Linked DNA regions of Diceros bicornis minor. Each later gene encodes a partner of the first gene's protein in a complex. Links are inferred from orthologs where the notes say so. Each region holds a gene or a part of one and is shown on either strand. Other genes may lie near its edges.

Region 1 (8,239 bases):
GAGATCGTGGTAACGATTCAGAGCATCACTAAGGAACATTGAGGAGGAGAAAAAGGGGAAGGCCTAAAGAGGTCCCAAGCTGATTCATTGGCTGCCTTCCCTCCCCAGCTCGGACCGCTACAGGCCAGGGACAGTGACAAGGCCACCATCCTGCCCTGCCTTGGGGAGCGCTCATCTAAACCTGATAGGAGCCCTTGTCCACTCACTCAGCTCTTGTGCAAATCCTGGACAGTCTTGAATTGAGAATGAGTGCAGGTGACAATGAAGCCACCAGGAACCCTCAGACTCTGTTCACTTATTCCTAACTCTTTCTCGGCTTGTGGAAGGGAAGATGAAATAAAAAGCCTCTCCAAAGGCTCCAAAACGTCAGGGATGGACCTTAGAACTCCCTCATTTTACATCCTAAGAGTCCTGGAGAGGGGAAGTGACTTGCCTAAGGTCACCCAGCAAGTCAGTGTTCGAGTTGGGATTGGAGCCCAACACTTGTGACACCAAAGTGAGCCCTCTTCCTCCTTTTCTGGTTGCTTCTGCTTTCCTCTTCTGCCAAGGGCTTCTCTGTCACCTGGTTACCTCAGTCCAAAGCCTCTCCATCACTTTCTCCCTCCTGCCCAGAGGCCCTGCCCTCAACTTGCCCTCCTATGACTATAGCATCCCTGCCCTCCTGCCTGATGCTGGCCACGCCTCTCTGCTCAACTGCACACCTGGTGCATCAGCTTCTGCTGAAGACCTTACTCCAGTGCCCGGAACAGAGCAGGCCTTAAGGTCTATTGCTCACCCACTTCTCCTGAAAAAAAAAAAAATCATGAATCGGCATATGCTCCCTTTCCTTTCGTTTGTGCGGCTTCTATTTCGAGTATGGGAACGGATATGAGTAAGGGGTACAAGGAAGTCTGTGAAGAAGAAAGGGGACCGGTGGGCCCGAGGATGGAGGGGTTGGGCAACACAAATACAAGAAAAAGCCTCTCACTGCCGCTCCCTATTTCCCTGCGGGGTCCCTTTAGGGTCCCTAGCCCCGAAGAGGGCCTCCCCGGTTTGGCTGATGACGTCTAGAATCTCTCGGATACTGTCGCTCAGCTCTGTCTTCCCACCTTCCCGGGGCCAGGTCTGCTCATTCCGCCAGGCGGCGCCCGAGGCTTCTGTGTCGCTTCCATCAGAAGAGCCGCTATGGACGCTGAGCTCCGCAGCTTCGTCCGAGTCCGAGTCCGGGGCGGTGTGGCGGCGGATGCGGGACACGGCTTCCCGCAGGGCCCCGGCGTAGGGCCCCGGGGTCCGCGCCCAGCCCCGGCCCGCGCGCAGCGGGACCGCCGCCACTTCCTGCGAGCCCTCGGCACCGCCCGCGCCTCCCGAAGCTGCTGGGCCTAAGGCTGAGTGCTCTGGGCTACCTGGCTGCATGGGGGCGTCCTGCAGGTTTACTTCGTCCACCGGGAGCCCCAAGATGCGGGAGGCGCGCTCTTCCAATGAGGAGTCCGCAGGCTTCCCGCCCTCAGCTTCGAACTCGCGCCCCCCACCAGGCTGGTGTGAAAGGCGTTGGCTGCTCAACAGCAGCTTTTGGCGAGGGGAGGGAAAGCCCGCGGTTGCCTCGCCCTCCTCCTTTTTGGGCTTCAGTTGGCTGGGGGCATCCTCCACAACGCGCGGCACCGCAGAGGACAAAAGCTGCACATGCTGAGTACGAGGGGTCGGAACATACTGGGACCGTATCACCACGCACGTGGCGTCAATGACAAAGACACCTTCTCCAGGAGCGGGGCCTCGGGAACTGCGGGGCAGGGTGTGGGCGCGGCGGGTCACTTTCCAACCCTCCAAGGTCTTGGGTCCTGCCCCTTCTCTATGACCCAGGGACTCTCTCCATCCCGTGCCTCCTGGAGCCCAGGGCCTGGGGAGGGTCTGGCTATGTCGGAGAGCCTGCTTTTTAAGGGAGGGAATCCAGCATTTGGGGAGCCAGCTCTGTTCTCTACCTTCTTTCCCTTCCCCGGAGCCCTTGAGCTGGGGCCTGGACCTGGGAGCGGGACGCGGGGGGCTGGGAGTCGCAGCTGCAGGCCCCGCGGGAGCTGTCTCCGTGCCTGGGCTCCCAACAGCTTTGGCTTGGGCACGGCCGTCGCTACCACTGTTCAGGCCAGCAGCAGCCAGCCCCAGGCTTTTCTCCGCGGCCCCCTTGCCGGACTCCAGCCTTGGCCTGGCTGTTCCACAGCCTGGGGAGCCTCCCAAAAGACCTCGCCCCTGTCGGAGACCCCAAGCCCCAAGGACGTCCCGGTAGATCCGAGGATCCAGCTTCTTCTTTGCGCACCCTCCCTCTGTCCTGGCTGGAGTGGGAGCAGGGGCTGACGAGGCGGGGACCTGGGAGGGCTCGGAGCCTCGCTTGGTCCCCAAGGTCCTGTGGGGGCCTTCGTAAGAAGGTGGAGCCACGTAGGGTGGCGGCCGGTCCCAGCGGCGTCTCGGGGCTGCCCCGGCAGCGCCTCTCAGCAGCAGGTGAGCCTCGTAGCTGGGGGGGCCTGGCCGCCGACCTCCCCAGGGCCTCGCCCACGCCGCCCCTGGGTCGCTCTGCGGCTGCGCGAATGGACGGGGCGGTCGCCCCACCAGCCCCAGGCGCTCCGGCCGGGAGGGAGCTGGGAGCCCTGCAGGCTGGGCCACCCGAGGGGCGTTCCGAGGTTCCGGGCGGGGCCGACCCAGGGGGCTCCTTCGGGCCCCACCAGCCTTGCGCCTTTTTCGCTCGGTCTCCTTGGCCTCCCGCTCCTGCGATGCTGCTTTCCTTTTCTCTTGCTCCCGGGCTCGGACCTCGGCCGGGGGCCCCGCCCGCCAGTTGGTCGCCTCCTGCAGCACCCTGGAGGCCCAGGGCCGGCGGGGCAGCGGCTCAGGGGATCCCGGGCGCGGCCCACACCTGGGACAATGAGCAGGAACCCAGGTGAGCAGTTTGTGGGGGAAGGGAGCCGAGGTCCGGGGAGCTGGGAGCATTGGAGACCATTTGGGGCAGCCGTGTGGAGGGGTGTGTGTGAGTGTGTGCGCGTGTGCACGTGCGTATATGTTAGGGCTGAAGTCGAAGCGGGACTCCTCACCATCTCTCCATGCACACTTTAACAGCGTCTGCCCCATCTCACCTCCTGCCCTTTTTCACGCCCACTCCTGTCCCCCCAAAACAACGCGGGGTGAATCAGGCCCCAGCCCTCGGGATTGAGGGGGAAGCGTGGGAAAGAGAAGGGGGACCAGCAGCGCTGGCTGGTGCCTGCGGGGAGGTCTGGACCCCACTCCCCGCCCCACCACTCTATTCCCCTCACCCGTCCTTCACTCACGTGCGGCTCTGGGGCCCTCGAGCCCAGTAGCTGGCCTGGTAGTCCATGGGCTGTCGAGGAGGGGCACGGCGACTATAATGACAGGAAATAGTCTTCACTTGGATCACCAGCAGCTTGGATTTCTGCACCCAGAGGCAGCTGCCAGATTCTTCATCCTGGAGCTCCCCGGGGCTGTCGGGCCCCTCGCAGAATAGCTGGCCATCCAGCATCCTGCCCCACCCCACCCCGGCCCCCCACCCTCCCACCCGCCCCGAAAGCCCCCTCCCAGCCCAGGGAGCTGGCGCCCACTGCAGAGCGGCGGGCCCAGTGACTGGGGACTATATATACCCAGGCACACGTGTGTGCCTGTCTGTGTGTGTGCGCGCGCGCGCATGTGACACGGCGCAGACGGCTCGGCGCTGCTACCTCCCCCGTGTGCACGGCCGCCCCCTGGGGCCTGGGATTGGGGGCCCCTTCCCACTGCTCTTGTACCCCAAGCCTGATGGGACCTGCACGAGTGGGCAGGGGACTTCTTATTCCTGCCAAGCTGATAGTGCCCCGGTCCCCATCCTAATTTCTTCAACCTTCCTGCCGTTTTAACCCTTCACTCTCTTGCCTGTCAGGGTGACTGACCACCAGCGTTCTGCCTCTGACTTCCTGCCCCGGACTTCAGTTTCCCCGACAGGGAGGTGATGAGAATGGAACTCAAGGTCTCTGCCTGCCACTGTCTGCTGGTTTCCATGGGGTTGGGGTGCAGGAGGGGCTGGCCCAGGGTGGGGGGCTATTTTTAGCGGCAGTGGCATTCGGGTGCAGAGAGATGAGTAACCAGCTTGAATGCGGTGGAGGGAGGAGGCGGTGGCTTTCACGCAGCTTTTGTGTGACTCTGGGGGAGAGCTGCCTCCCTCAACCTCAACAACGGTGACCCCTACACCCTCAACTTCTTATCCTCTCAGTGTTGCAGTCCAGGGCTGCTGGTACAGCGGGACACAGGATCCTGTCTTGGCCATCAAAGCCGCCCCACACTTGCATTCTAAGATGTTTGTCCTTGACCACCCATGGAGCCCTCTCCCCCCAACAATCCAGAAGCCAGGATTTTGGGGTCATATTGTTTTATGCCCACACAGCTCTGCTATGCACTTGCACCCTTTCAGAGGGGATGGAGAAGGAATGGTGTGCTCCCTTGGCAAAACCAATCCCCTAGCAACTGAAATGATAAAAGTGGCCCCCATTTCCCAGTGCAGAGCTACCTGTCCCCACTATCACAATGCTTGGCTCACTCAGCCCCCACCTGAAGTGGTGCTCGAGATGCTCACCTTCTAGGCTCATTCTGTCCTGGGGGGTTGTTGCTTACATCCACATGATCCCTCCCCCCAAGCCTATACCAGGTGTCCCATGATTCACCATGGTAATGTTAGTGGCAGCACAGCCCACGCCAACCCTTCCATGCAGACTTAGCAACCATGCCTGGCAACCATGGCAGCAGCTCCAGTGGAGGGGAGGAGTGAGGGGAGGTGGGGGAAGGAGTGTGTATGGTGATAGTTTCTGAGGAAGAAGGGATAATTTGCCTCTCCTGAGAGGAATAAGTAAGACTAGAAGCCTCCCAAATTTTGTCCCTTGTCTTCTGCTCCATCCTCAGACTCTGAGACTGATTGGTTGGGTTTTAGGGAGAAATGGGAAAAGCAAGAGATCTTAATTTGTTTCTCACTAAAGTACATGCAGCCCTTTGGGTACAGACATTTCCTTTTAAGGGGATGGGGCCAGGAGGGTTGTTGTGGGGCAAAGACTGACTTACTGAGAACCACAACAAAACCCAGGCCTCCTGCTCCCTAACATGGGCCATTCGAGAGAACCCAAACGTCCCCTATCCCATCCACTTGACCCCCCTTGAATCCATACACCTACCAGCTGCACTGACGGCTCTTTGCTTGAAGGTGCTTCCTTCCACCCAGGTCACACCAGAGTCCTAAGGCTTTTTAAAGCCTTTGCCTCCTCCCTAGACAAACCCTCTTCATGATGGAATGTGACATAAGGAGACATCTGTCCCTTCCACCATGCACCCACCCACACACACATAAACATACCCTCATTCTAATAACTTGGAAGCCTCCCTCCCTCAAGTCTGGGAATGTGCTGTGAGAGCTGGAAAAGAGGTGACTGCATGAGCAGGGGCTTCTCCAAGGCCATGAGGCAGCACTGAGAGCTGAGCTCTGATGAGTGCCTTGATACCTTTCCCCGTTCCAGTAGGAAGCCTGGTTTGGAGGAACAAGTACAGTATGGCTGGTTTCATTAGAGTTCTTAGGGGCAGTACAGGGAGGGGCAAGGAGTTACTCTGCAAGTGCTTCAGGTCCTGGACAGGAAATGGTATCATACCCGCCAGGCAGTGGTGAGACAGTGCCCAGAATTTGGCTCATACCCATCGACTAGCAGTCCTTATGGTCTGTGGTGCCGACTACTGTTTTGGTTTCAGCACAGGGAAAGGGTCTGATGGGGTGACCACGGTCCTGCTGCTCCCCACCTCCCAGCGCATTCTCAGCTTGGAAGAAAGGCAAAGGATTTGTAGACTCAAAGACAGTGTCAGCTGAGCAAACTCCAGAGTCCAACCTTTCCTAAGAAAAGTTGATGGTAGTGGCAGGTCTCCCTGCCTAAAGGAGACCCTCAGTCTGTCTACTTTCTGGAGACCTAACACTATTACTGGATTTTTCTTGGGTCCCAGCTATGGTCCAGGCAGAGGGGAAAGTGAGGTAATAAGGAGGATTGCAGGGAATTGGGTGGGGAACAGTTATGAACGGAGAATTAGAAAGACGGTAAGTCTAGTGAATGGTAAAGAGATGAGCTCTGGAGCCAGACTGTTTGGGTTCAAATCCTCGCTCTACTTTTTACTAGCCGTGTGGCCTCGGACTAGTTATTTAGCTTCTCTAAGCCTCAGCTTTTTTTAAATCTGCAAAACTGGAATAGTATCTACTATTGTTTTGAGGATTAAGTGAATTAATATATGTAAAGCACTGAGAATCATGCCTGGCACACAGCTGTATATATGTGTGTGTGAGCTATTATTTTTTTTTTTTGTGAGGAGATCAGCCCTGAGCTAACATCCGCCAATCTTCCTCTTTTTTTTTTTTTTTTTTTTTTTCCGCTGAGGAAGACGGCCCTGGGCTAACATCAGTGCCCATCTTCCTCCACTTTATATGGGACGCCGCCACAGCATGGCTTACCAAGCAGTGCGTCGGTGCGCGCCCGGGATCCGAACCAGCGAACCCCGGGCCGCCGCAGCGGAGCGCGCGCACTTAACCGCTTGCGCCACCGGGCCGGCCCCGTGAGCTATTATTATTGTTATTAATGATGAGTTGAAAAAGCTGTACGAACTAGGACGGCTGGAGCAGTAGTGTCTATCAACTAAAAATCAAAGACTGCAATACCATGACGAGGTTCCCGTCATTTTAATTAGGTTTGCCATGAGAAGCAATAACCTCAGCTAACCACTCTGCCCTCCTCCTCCACCTAACCCCCTTCTCCCTTCATATGCACACAGCACAGGGACCCAAAGGCCCTCCTCCCCACTCCCATTATGGGAAGAAATGTCACTAAATGGACTCAGCCCCCTCATACAGCATGAAACAGGATGAATAAAAATATCTCGAGTTTTGTTGTCCTATTATCTAGGGTGGAGTCAGGGGCAGAGATACAGGCAAAGGCTGGGTGAGGTCTGGGGATCTCTTAGAGATCAGAATTTGCCTGAGGAGCACAGAGCCCATAGTTCACCCAGAAAGGGGGCTATGTCTAAGAGGACAGACGCTAGGATGGGCTAGGCTGAAAGTTTTCCTCAAGTGTATGTGTGAGGACAAGGACAGCTAAAAATCCATTCTCCTTCCTCCCCCAACACCTTCCCCAGCTCCCAGGTGGAAGGGTAGGGGGCTGCAGAGCAGGGAACAGAGTCACAATTCTCTCAAGGTTTCATCTGTGGCTCCCAGAGCCTCGGGCGGGCAGTGAGTGGGGCACAGCCCCTGGTGATGCCTGACCCCTTGCCCCAGCTCAGGGCTTCTCTCCGCCTGTGAGCACCAGGGCCTGCAGGATGTCAGACAGTGATACAATTCCCTTGACCACATCATTCTCATCCACCACTACAAGTCGGTGAACCTGGCATAGAGCAACAAGGGAGAAAGGGATGTTTAGTGCCAGCCTCAGTTAGGGTGAGCCTTTTCGCCCCTACCCTCCTTGCCGAACCCCACTCTCAAGGCTGCTCCCCCCAGCTCCTCTTGGGTCACTGGCCCCCTACCTCTGCTTCCACCAGCCTGTTGATTATGGTCTCCAGAGTCTCATGCAGGTAGCACTTGAGGACACCCTCAAAGTAATGCGATCGATGTTGCAGGGCTTTGGTCACAGACACATCTAGGTTGTTGTAGGTCTTTTCTGCTGCCAGATTCTGGAGAGAGAGAGGAAGGTGCTTGCAGGGAAGCAAAGAAGCCAGCCCCCAAACCCTGAGCACCCCTCCAACCTCACCAGCGGGATTTAGGGCAGTTGTCAGCCATGCCCACAAGCTCCACCCAGCTCATTCAATTCCTTTTCAAATAGGATTTGAAAGCTTGGAGGCTTCTAAAACCCATAGGTCCCAGAAGAGACTCTCTTCTTCTCCCTTTCCACATTCAACACCCCGCCCGTTTCCCTACCTCCCAGCCCCTCCACAATCACTCACGATAACATCAAACTTGGAGTAGATGTCCACCACACGCCCTAGGGGGACAGAGGCAGCTCAGCAAGGAGGATCTGGCATCCAAGGCTCCCTCTGCCCATAGAATCACACTCCGGGCTGTGCTAAGCGATTTTCCCAGAGCCACCCTGGCTTCCCTGGAGCCCTCCCTCTCCTTCTGCCCAATCTCTCACCTTTCTCATCCACCACTGGCAGGGCTGAGACTCGGTGCTGTACAAAGATGCCCAGAGCCACATAGACAGGGGTGGTAGTGCGGACCATGGCAATGTTG
Region 2 (8,580 bases), on another chromosome or scaffold:
TCCTAACTGGCACCAGGCATAAAGAACTTAACACATTTACATCACCCATAATTAGCCACATTAACGTTAGCTCTTATTATTTTTGCTGTTGTTAGTGCTGAGGTAAAAAGTAATAAAAGCTCACTTTGGCAGTGGGGCAGGATGAGAAGAAAACTTCAGAATGCTGAGGAACTGGTTAAGCTACTTAAATAGGTCCTACTTTGGGACTGTAATGTTAATTTTCATTCCTCCTTAAATTTCTAAAACTAATTTTTTTATATTGTTCCAAATGCTGCCAAGATGGCTTGAGCCAGTATATTTGACATATGCCATAATCAAGGTTTCTCACACACCTGTCTGAAAGCCAGAGCCTGATCTGTGTTTGAGACCATGGAGTAAATGGACACATAAACTTGGGATGTGCCCAGGAGATGGGAGAGGGCAGGAAGAATTAATTTCCCTTCACAGTTTGTGCAATGTTATGGAAAAAGCAAGTGCTGTCTAAAGCTGCTGGCTTCTAAATAATCATTTGTTTATTTTCCCATTTCAGTAAAGAATTTAAGAGAGCATATTTAAAAAGTTCCGTTCTCTGACTCTTTGGAGGAAATATCAGCATGCCAGATACGTCTGTGAAGGGAGAACAGTTAGACAAATAAAAATTTGAACAGTAAATACATTTAAATGCAAGTTTTCCCTTTAGCAATTTCTGCTGTTTAAAAGGTAAAACTAGTGCCATTTTGTGAAAAATGGTTTTAAAAATCTAGGTGTCAGATAGTATATTAAGTTCAATTTTAGGATGAGAGCAAAATAAAATGCTTTTATATGTTATCCAAAAAAATAGAAAAATTGAGTATGATATAAAGTTCTAGGATAAAAAATGAGAAAATGAAAAAAAACTGCCAAAGGGCATTCTTAGAGATCTTTGACTCACCAATAGTGATATATATTTATCTTTAGAGAAAATAATATCAAATTCCACTGAAATTCAATGTTTTCAATAACTTTTTAAATCCCCTTTCAAAAAACAATACATACCAAAATTAGAAAATTTAGAAAATATGGTTAAGAAAAAATTTAAAAAGAAAGATCATGAATTAACCACTATAAATAATTGTGCACACGTCCATCCAGACTTTTCTCTTTCACATACATGTGTAAACATTTTTTACATGAATATTATACTGTATATGCGGTTTTATAAACTGCTTCTTTCTCTTTTGTAATAGATCCTTCTTTGAAACATCATTTTGAACGGTTGTGTATTATTCCATTGTATGTTTGTACCACAATTTATTGAACGCATTTGTTACAAATTAAAGTTGCTACTAATTAAAAAAACTCTTTTTAGGTTTATATATGCTCCTCTATGATAATTATCTTAGGATAAATCATAGAAGTAGGATTGTGTGGTCAAAGATAAGGCAAAATCCTAAGTCTTTTGATAAGGATAAGCAAACTGCCCTATAGAGATACTGCAAACTAATGAAACTTAGGCCAAGAGTGTAAGAGAGTTTCTGTTCTACTTCACTGTCACAATACTGAGATGTCTGTGACAGACAGACAGACAGACAGACGAGAAGCAGACAAAACTAGAGATAACATATGTTTTGGCCAATGTAATGTGCAAAAATGTTATGTCATTGTTTTCATTCAATTATTATTTATTGTGAGTTCAGTTAAGCAAATATATGTTTATTAGTCATTTGTATTTTTTTAACTTGTTTACCTCTTTGTTCATGTTCTGCTTTTTAAAAATTAATATTGATTCATAATAGTGCCTTATCTATTAAAAATACACTTAAATATTTTCTCCTGATTATGGTTTCACTTTAAATTTTGTCTACCATGTTATTTGTAAGTTTACTCTTCTGTGTAGTCAAATCGGTAGCTAGTTTCCTTTGGACTGTTTATGTTAATTTAAGAGAGGCATTTCCACTGCAATATTATAGTCATAGGTATTTTTTTTCTAGTTCTTCGTGTTTTTTAATTTTTTTCCAGTAAAATCTTTAATTCATCAAAAATTTATTTTGGTGTGGAGTAAGAAAGTAGATAGGGATCTACTTTAATTTCATTTTTAAAAAATGGTTACTCAATGAACATATAGGGGTGCAAATACCTTTTCAAATTAGTGTTTTCATGTTCTTTGGATAAATACCCAGAAGTGGAACAGCTGGATCATATGGTAGCTGTAGTCTTAATTTTTCAAGTTGCCATTTGTGACAACATGGATGGACCTTGAGAATATTATGCTAAGTGAAATAAGTCAGACGGAGAAAGTCAAATACCTTATGATTTCACTCATAAATAGAAGATAAAAACAGCAATAACAACAACAACAAACAAACACATAGATACAAAGATTAGATTGGTGGTTACCAGAGGGGAAGGGGAAGGGGGGGGAGGGCAAAAGGGCACAGGTGTATGGTGATGGATGGTAATTAGTCTTTGGGTGGTGAACATGACATAGCTACACAGAAATGAAATATAATGATGTACACCTGAAATTTATATAATGTTATAAACCAATGTTACCCAAAAAAAGAAAAAATAAATAAAATTAAACATTAAAAAAAAGGATTATTCATTTGTTCCAACAAAATATTTTAAGGCCTCATGCTTCTCCCACTGAGATAAAATGCCATTTTAACATATGGAAGGAAGTCAAGATGGCGGTGTAGGCAGCCTCTGAACTCACCTCCTCCGGCGGACACAGCCAATTTACAACTACTCGTGGGAAAATTACCCCTGAGACAGAACTGAAAACTGGATAAGAGGAACTCCTGCAACAACGGACAATCCTAACTGAGGTAGAAGAGGCAGAAACTCCCTTCTGGAGAGAAAAAACGCCGTCTTCACAAGCCGCCAGCTTCACAGGTACGCACCCTCCCTGGAGGAGCGGGGCCCCGAGTCGGGGAGCGCCCCCGCTGTGGAGATTTCGTGGACCCAGCACAATCGAGATGAGTGGCTTAATATCTGACTTGCCTGCTACTAAAACATTGGGGAGTACCCCCAGAAAAGCCGGTTCACAAAGAAACTAAAACTGGCTCTTAAAGGGCCCACGCGCAAAGTCACCCGTTTCAGAAAGCATCCTAAAATCACCAGAAAGAAAGGTGCACAGTGCTGCGGTGAAACGAGACTCACCTGAGAGGCCCTGAGTGCATCTCGGTGAGGGGTGAGACCTCTCCAGGGATTGGGACATTGGCGGCAGCCATTGTTGTGCCCTAGTGTGGGCGTGCTGACACAGACGCCATTGGAGTTCTCCCTGGGGCCTGCTAGCTCAGGGTCTGCCCCACCCGCTAGACCACCGATTTAATCCAGCTCAGCCAGGGTGGGCAGCCACCCTACAGACTGGCCCCACCCAACAACAAGCCCTCAAGCAACTTGTGGGCCTGCATAGATTGGTGACTGGATTCTCTGCAGCCTGGCAACTGAGCTGACTTTAGCGGGGCAGGGCATGCACAAGGAGCGGGTGGAGAGTGTGGGGCGGTGGCGGAGTGTGTGGGGCTCCCGCCGTGGAGAGACTGGGTCCGCTTGGGGAGGTCGGGGCGCGCACACGGGGCAGGAATGTGTTGACTGTGTGTATGGACCTGTGGGCAGCAGGGCTTGTCAGCTGCAGAAGACTTGTGCTGCTCAAAGACCCACATAGGGGGTTTGCCCCACCTTCCAAAGCCTGAAACAATTGGGTGCTCCTGTGCCTGAGGCCAGCCCCACCCAGCTGCAATCCTCAGAGAGCTGACAAGAGACCTAATAGGCTAGAGGCTTACAGCAATTGTAAGGCCCTGAGCCTAACAACCTGCCACGCTGGGGGCCTACTCACTTAAAAGAAATACTGCAACACAAATGTGGTATTAGAACTTGCAGCCAACTGTGCTTGGGCTCCCCACACCTGGTAAAGACACTGAAGGGCCCACAACAACTACAAGCAGCTGAGCATTACAACAGCTGGCCAGGAGCATTAACTCGGCCTCCCTGGGCACCTACAGGGAGAGCAAACAGGCCACAACAGAAGGCCAAATGTAGCCCACATAGGGATCAACGCTGGAACATTGAGAACTGAGGGAAGGACACTGGAGGCCTCCTAAGGCATCACTTACATAAGGTCACCTATCCAAGAGCAGGAGACGTAGCTGGCCTACCTAATACGTAGACACAAGCACAGGGAAAGAGGCAAAATGAGGAGGCAAAAGAATACATTCCAAGTAAGGGAACAGGACAAAACCCCAGAAAAGGAACTAAGTGAAACAGAAATGAGCAACCTACCCGACAGAGAGTTCAAACAAAGAGTGTTAAGGATGCTCACTGATGTGGGGAGAAGAATAGATGAACTCAGTGAGAATGTCAACAAAAAAATGGAAGATATAAAAAAGAACCAATCAGAAATGAAGAATACAATACTGGAAATGAAAAATTCATTAGAGGGACTCAAAAGCAGAGTAGAGGATACAGAAGAATGGATCTGTGAGCTGGACGAAAGACTAGAAGAAATTACCCAAGCTGAACAGGTAAAAAAGAAAAGAGTTAAAAAGAGTGCGGACAGTCTAAGGGACCGCTGGGACAACATCAAGTGCACTAACATCCGTGTTATAGGTGTCCTGGCAGGAGAAGAGCGAGACAAGGGGGCAGAGAATCTATTTCAAGAAATAATAGATGAAAACTTCCCTAACCTTAGGAAGGAAACCGACATCCAGGTACAGGAAGCACAGAGAGGCCCAAACAAGATAAATCCAAAGAGGCCCACACCAAGACACATCATAATCAAAATGTCCAGAATTAAAGATAAAGAGAGAATCCTAAAAGCTGCCAGAGAAAGTCAAGTTACATACAAAGGAAACCCCATAAGGCTATCAGCTGACTTCTCAGCAGAAACCTTACTGGCTAGAAGAGAGTGGCACGATATATTTAAAGTATTAAAAGGAAAAAACTTACAGCCAAGAATACTCTACCCAGCAAGGTTATCATTCAAAATGGAAGGAGAGATCAAAAATTTCCAAGACAAGCAAAAATTAAAGGAGCTTGTCAACAAGAAACCAGTGCTACAAGAAATGTTAAAGGGACTGATTTAAGGGGAAAAGAGAAGACCACAAATAGGAAAAATTATCTATTTCCATGATAAGAACGTAATGGATACAAATGCACAAAAAAGAGGTTACATACGATATCAAAAACATAAAAGGAGGGAGGAGGGGAGTTACAGAGTACAGCTTTCAGACAGAGGTCAAACTAAAGTGACCATCAATTCTGTATAGAAGAAGAAAGGAATAGAGAAGGACTACTAAAACACTGAGAGAAAAAAAAAAAAGTTAAAAAATGGCAGTAAGTACATACTTATCAATAGCTACTTTAAACGTCAATGGACTAAATGCCCCAATTAAAAGGCATTGGGTTGCTGATGGGATAAAAAAACAAGACCCATATATATGCTGCATACAAGAGATACACTTCAGACCTAAAGACACTCACAAACTGAAAGTGAAGAGATGGAAAAAGATACTCCATGCAAATAGCAATGAAAAGAAAGCTGGGGTAGCAGTACTCATATCAGACAAAATAGACTTTAAAACAAAAACTGTAAAAAGAGACAAAGAAGGGCATTACATAATGATCAAGGGAACAATCCAACAAGAGGACATAACGCTTGCAAATATCTACACACCCAATGTAGGTGCACCTAAATATATAAAGCAATTATTAACAGACACAAAAACGGAAATAGACTAACACAATAATAGTAGGGGACTTTAACACTCCACTTACACCAACGGATAGATCATCCAAACAGAAGATCAATAAGGAAACATTGGCCTTAAACGACACACTAGAACAGATGGACCTAGTAGATATCTACAGAGCATTCCATCCAAAAACTGAAGAATACACGTTCTTTTCAAATGCACATGGAACATTCTCCAGGATTGATCACATATTAGGCCACAAAACAAGTCTCCATAAATTTAAGAAGACTGAAATAATACCAAGCATCTTTTCTGACCACAACGGTATGAAACTAGAAATCAACTATAGGAAGAAAATCAGAAAAGCCACAAATACGTGGAGATTAAACAAAATGCTACTGAACAATGACTGGGTCAAGGAAGATATCAAAGAAGAAATCAAAAAATACCTGGAGACAAATGAAAATGAAAATACGACATGCCAGAATTTATGGGATACAGCAAAAGCGGTTCTAAGAGGGAAGTTTATAGGAATACAGGCCTATCTCAACAAACAAGAAAAATCTCAAATAAACAATCTAACAATGCACCTAAAGGAACTGGAAAAAGAAGAACAAACCAAGCCCAAAATCAGTAGAAGAAGGGAAATAATAAAAATCAGAGCAGAAATAAATGAAATAGAGACCAAAAAAAAACAGAAAAAATTAATAAAACCAAGAGCTGGTTCTTTGAAAAGATTAATGAAATTGACAAACGTTTAGCTAGACTCACCAAGAAAAAAAGACAGAAGGCACAACTAAGTAAAATCAGAAAAGAAAGAGGAGAAATTACAACAGACACCTCAGAAATACAAAAGATTATAAGAGAATACTATGAAAAGCTATATGCCAACCAATTCTACAATCTGGAAGAAATGGATAAATTCTTAGAATCATACAACCTTCCAAAACTGGATCAAGAAGAAGCAGAGAATTGAATAGACCAATCACCAGTAAGGAGATCGAAACAGTAATCAAAAACCTCCCCAAAAATGAAAGTCCAGGAGTCCCGAGGGGGTGGGCGTGGAGTCACGGGGGTGGGGTCACCGGCGGTGGCTCAGGGAGGTGGACGGGGCGGGGAGGGGGCCGTGGGGGCGGCTGGCGGAACCAGTCCGGGCTGGGGAGCAGCGGCGACGCCGGAGATCCGGGGCCAGGGCTTTCCGGGCTTCAGCGAAGCCGCCCGCGGGCCCCATCTTCCGGCGGTCGCAGTAGTTTGTGGTGATTGTTGCTGCCGCCGCCACCGCCCCGACTACCATCTCCTCCTCCTGGGCCTGGCTGATCCCCTCCCCGCTGCCGCCTCCTCCTGGGCCCGCGGTGTCTCATCCCCTCGCGGAGCCGCTCCTGCAGCTGCCACCGCCGCCTCCTCATTCATCCTCGCGCACCATAGGCGGCACAGGCACCAAGATGTCCAACCGAGTGGTCTGCCAGGAAGCCAGTCACGCTGGGAGCTGGTACACAGCCTCAGGACCGCAGCTGAATGCACAGCTAGAAGGTTGGCTTTCACAAGTACAGTCTACAAAAAGACCTGCTCGAGCCATTGTTGCACCCCATGCAGGATATACCTACTGTGGGTCTTGTGCTGCTCGTGCTTACAAACAAGTGGATCCATCTATTACCCGGAGAATTTTCATCCTTGGGCCTTCTCATCATGTGCCCCTCTCTCGATGTGCACTTTCCAGTGTGGATATATATAGGACACTTTTGTATGACCTTCGTATTGACCAAAGGATTTACGGAGAACTATGGAAGACAGGAATGTTTGAACGCATGTCTCTGCAGACAGATGAAGATGAACACAGTATTGAAATGCATTTGCCTTATACAGCTAAAGCCATGGAAAGCCATAAAGATGAGTTTACCATTATTCCTGTACTGGTTGGAGCTCTGAGTGAGTCAAAAGAACAGGAATTCGGAAAACTCTTCAGTAAATATCTAGCGGATCCTAGTAATCTCTTTGTGGTTTCTTCTGATTTCTGCCATTGGGGTCAAAGGTTCCGTTACAGTTACTATGATGAATCCCAGGGGGAGATTTATAGATCCATTGAACATCTAGATAAAATGGGTATGAGTATTATAGAACAATTAGACCCTGTATTTTTTAGCAATTACTTGAAGAAGTATCATAATACTCTATGTGGAAGACATCCCATTGGGGTGTTATTAAATGCTATCACAGAGCTCCAGAAGAATGGAATGAATATGAGCTTTTCCTTTTTGAATTATGCCCAGTCAAGCCAGTGTAGAAACTGGCAAGACAGTTCAGTGAGTTATGCAGCTGGAGCACTCACAGTCCACTGAAGCTCTGAATCCTCAGGGATGCCACCTGCACATACTCATATTCTGTCTGGGGTCCCAGCCTAGCCCTTACCAAGATACCGGTCCTGGTTTGGAGTGATTCTGAAACCTCAAACTAATAGAACTTTCTTCTCTTCTTTTCTAGTAGGTGTAGTCCTTCCTTAATTTCAACTCATTAAAAAATGCTTTATAGTTTAGGGCAGTGAAAGGAAGGCTGGCATCAAAATATATTGATCAAAAAAGATGGCAAGGTAAGACCCAGTTGTGGCAGAGAGTTTTTTGAAAGTAACTGGTAAAGCATTTACAATATCCTAAATTTGCACTCTTTGCAGACTTGTGCAAATATATTCCGCTTTCAGAATAGTTTTGCAAATTGTACACGAACAAACAAAAAAGGGTGGAAGCTTTTTAATAAAGAAATTGCATTTATAAATGATCTGTATTAGAATATGATAAATCACCAGTTACAGTCAATTACTACCCGTGTTGTACAACAGATACCTTCTATTTTAGTTGCTAATAAAGGGCTACACAACTCAAAAAAAAAAAATAAATAAATAAAAAATAAAAGTCCAGGACCAGACGGCTTCCCTGGA

What was found.
Region 2: the proteins of DDN (region 1) and MAGI2 are in contact, whole or in part, in a crystal structure (PDB 6KKG), measured with the Mus musculus proteins. The link is inferred for Diceros bicornis minor from reciprocal best matches to the Homo sapiens genes DDN and MAGI2. Residues at the interface, in NP_001013763.1 of Mus musculus: Asp222, Arg223, Pro224, Pro225, Pro226, Tyr227, Val228, Ala229, Pro230, Pro231, Ser232, Tyr233, His237, Arg238, Thr239, Leu240, Gly241; in NP_001164217.1 of Mus musculus: Glu308, Met309, Ala310, Tyr311, Thr312, Glu313, Gly315, Tyr318, Ile320, Asp321, His322, Lys325, Thr326, Thr327, Ser328, Trp329, Asp358, Tyr361, Tyr364, Val366, Asp367, His368, Arg371, Arg372, Thr373, Gln374, Phe375.

The regions. Positions count from the first base shown.
Region 1 is NC_080756.1:20,644,390-20,652,628, reverse strand, and holds the start of DDN (dendrin), read right to left. Parts: upstream 3,494-8,239; coding exon 3,285-3,493; intron 2,876-3,284; coding exon 964-2,875; 3' UTR 1-963. Other genes in the region: PRKAG1 (5'-AMP-activated protein kinase subunit gamma-1), read right to left, coding at 7,293-7,397, 7,537-7,683, 7,954-7,991, 8,142-8,239. UniProt on the Homo sapiens protein: Promotes apoptosis of kidney glomerular podocytes. Podocytes are highly specialized cells essential to the ultrafiltration of blood, resulting in the extraction of urine and the retention of protein.
Region 2 is NC_080742.1:16,781,983-16,790,562, forward strand, and holds the start of MAGI2 (membrane-associated guanylate kinase, WW and PDZ domain-containing protein 2), read right to left. Parts: upstream 3,211-8,580; 5' UTR 3,179-3,210; coding exon 3,121-3,178; intron 1-3,120. Other genes in the region: protein MEMO1-like, read left to right, coding at 7,094-7,987. UniProt on the Homo sapiens protein: Seems to act as a scaffold molecule at synaptic junctions by assembling neurotransmitter receptors and cell adhesion proteins. Plays a role in nerve growth factor (NGF)-induced recruitment of RAPGEF2 to late endosomes and neurite outgrowth.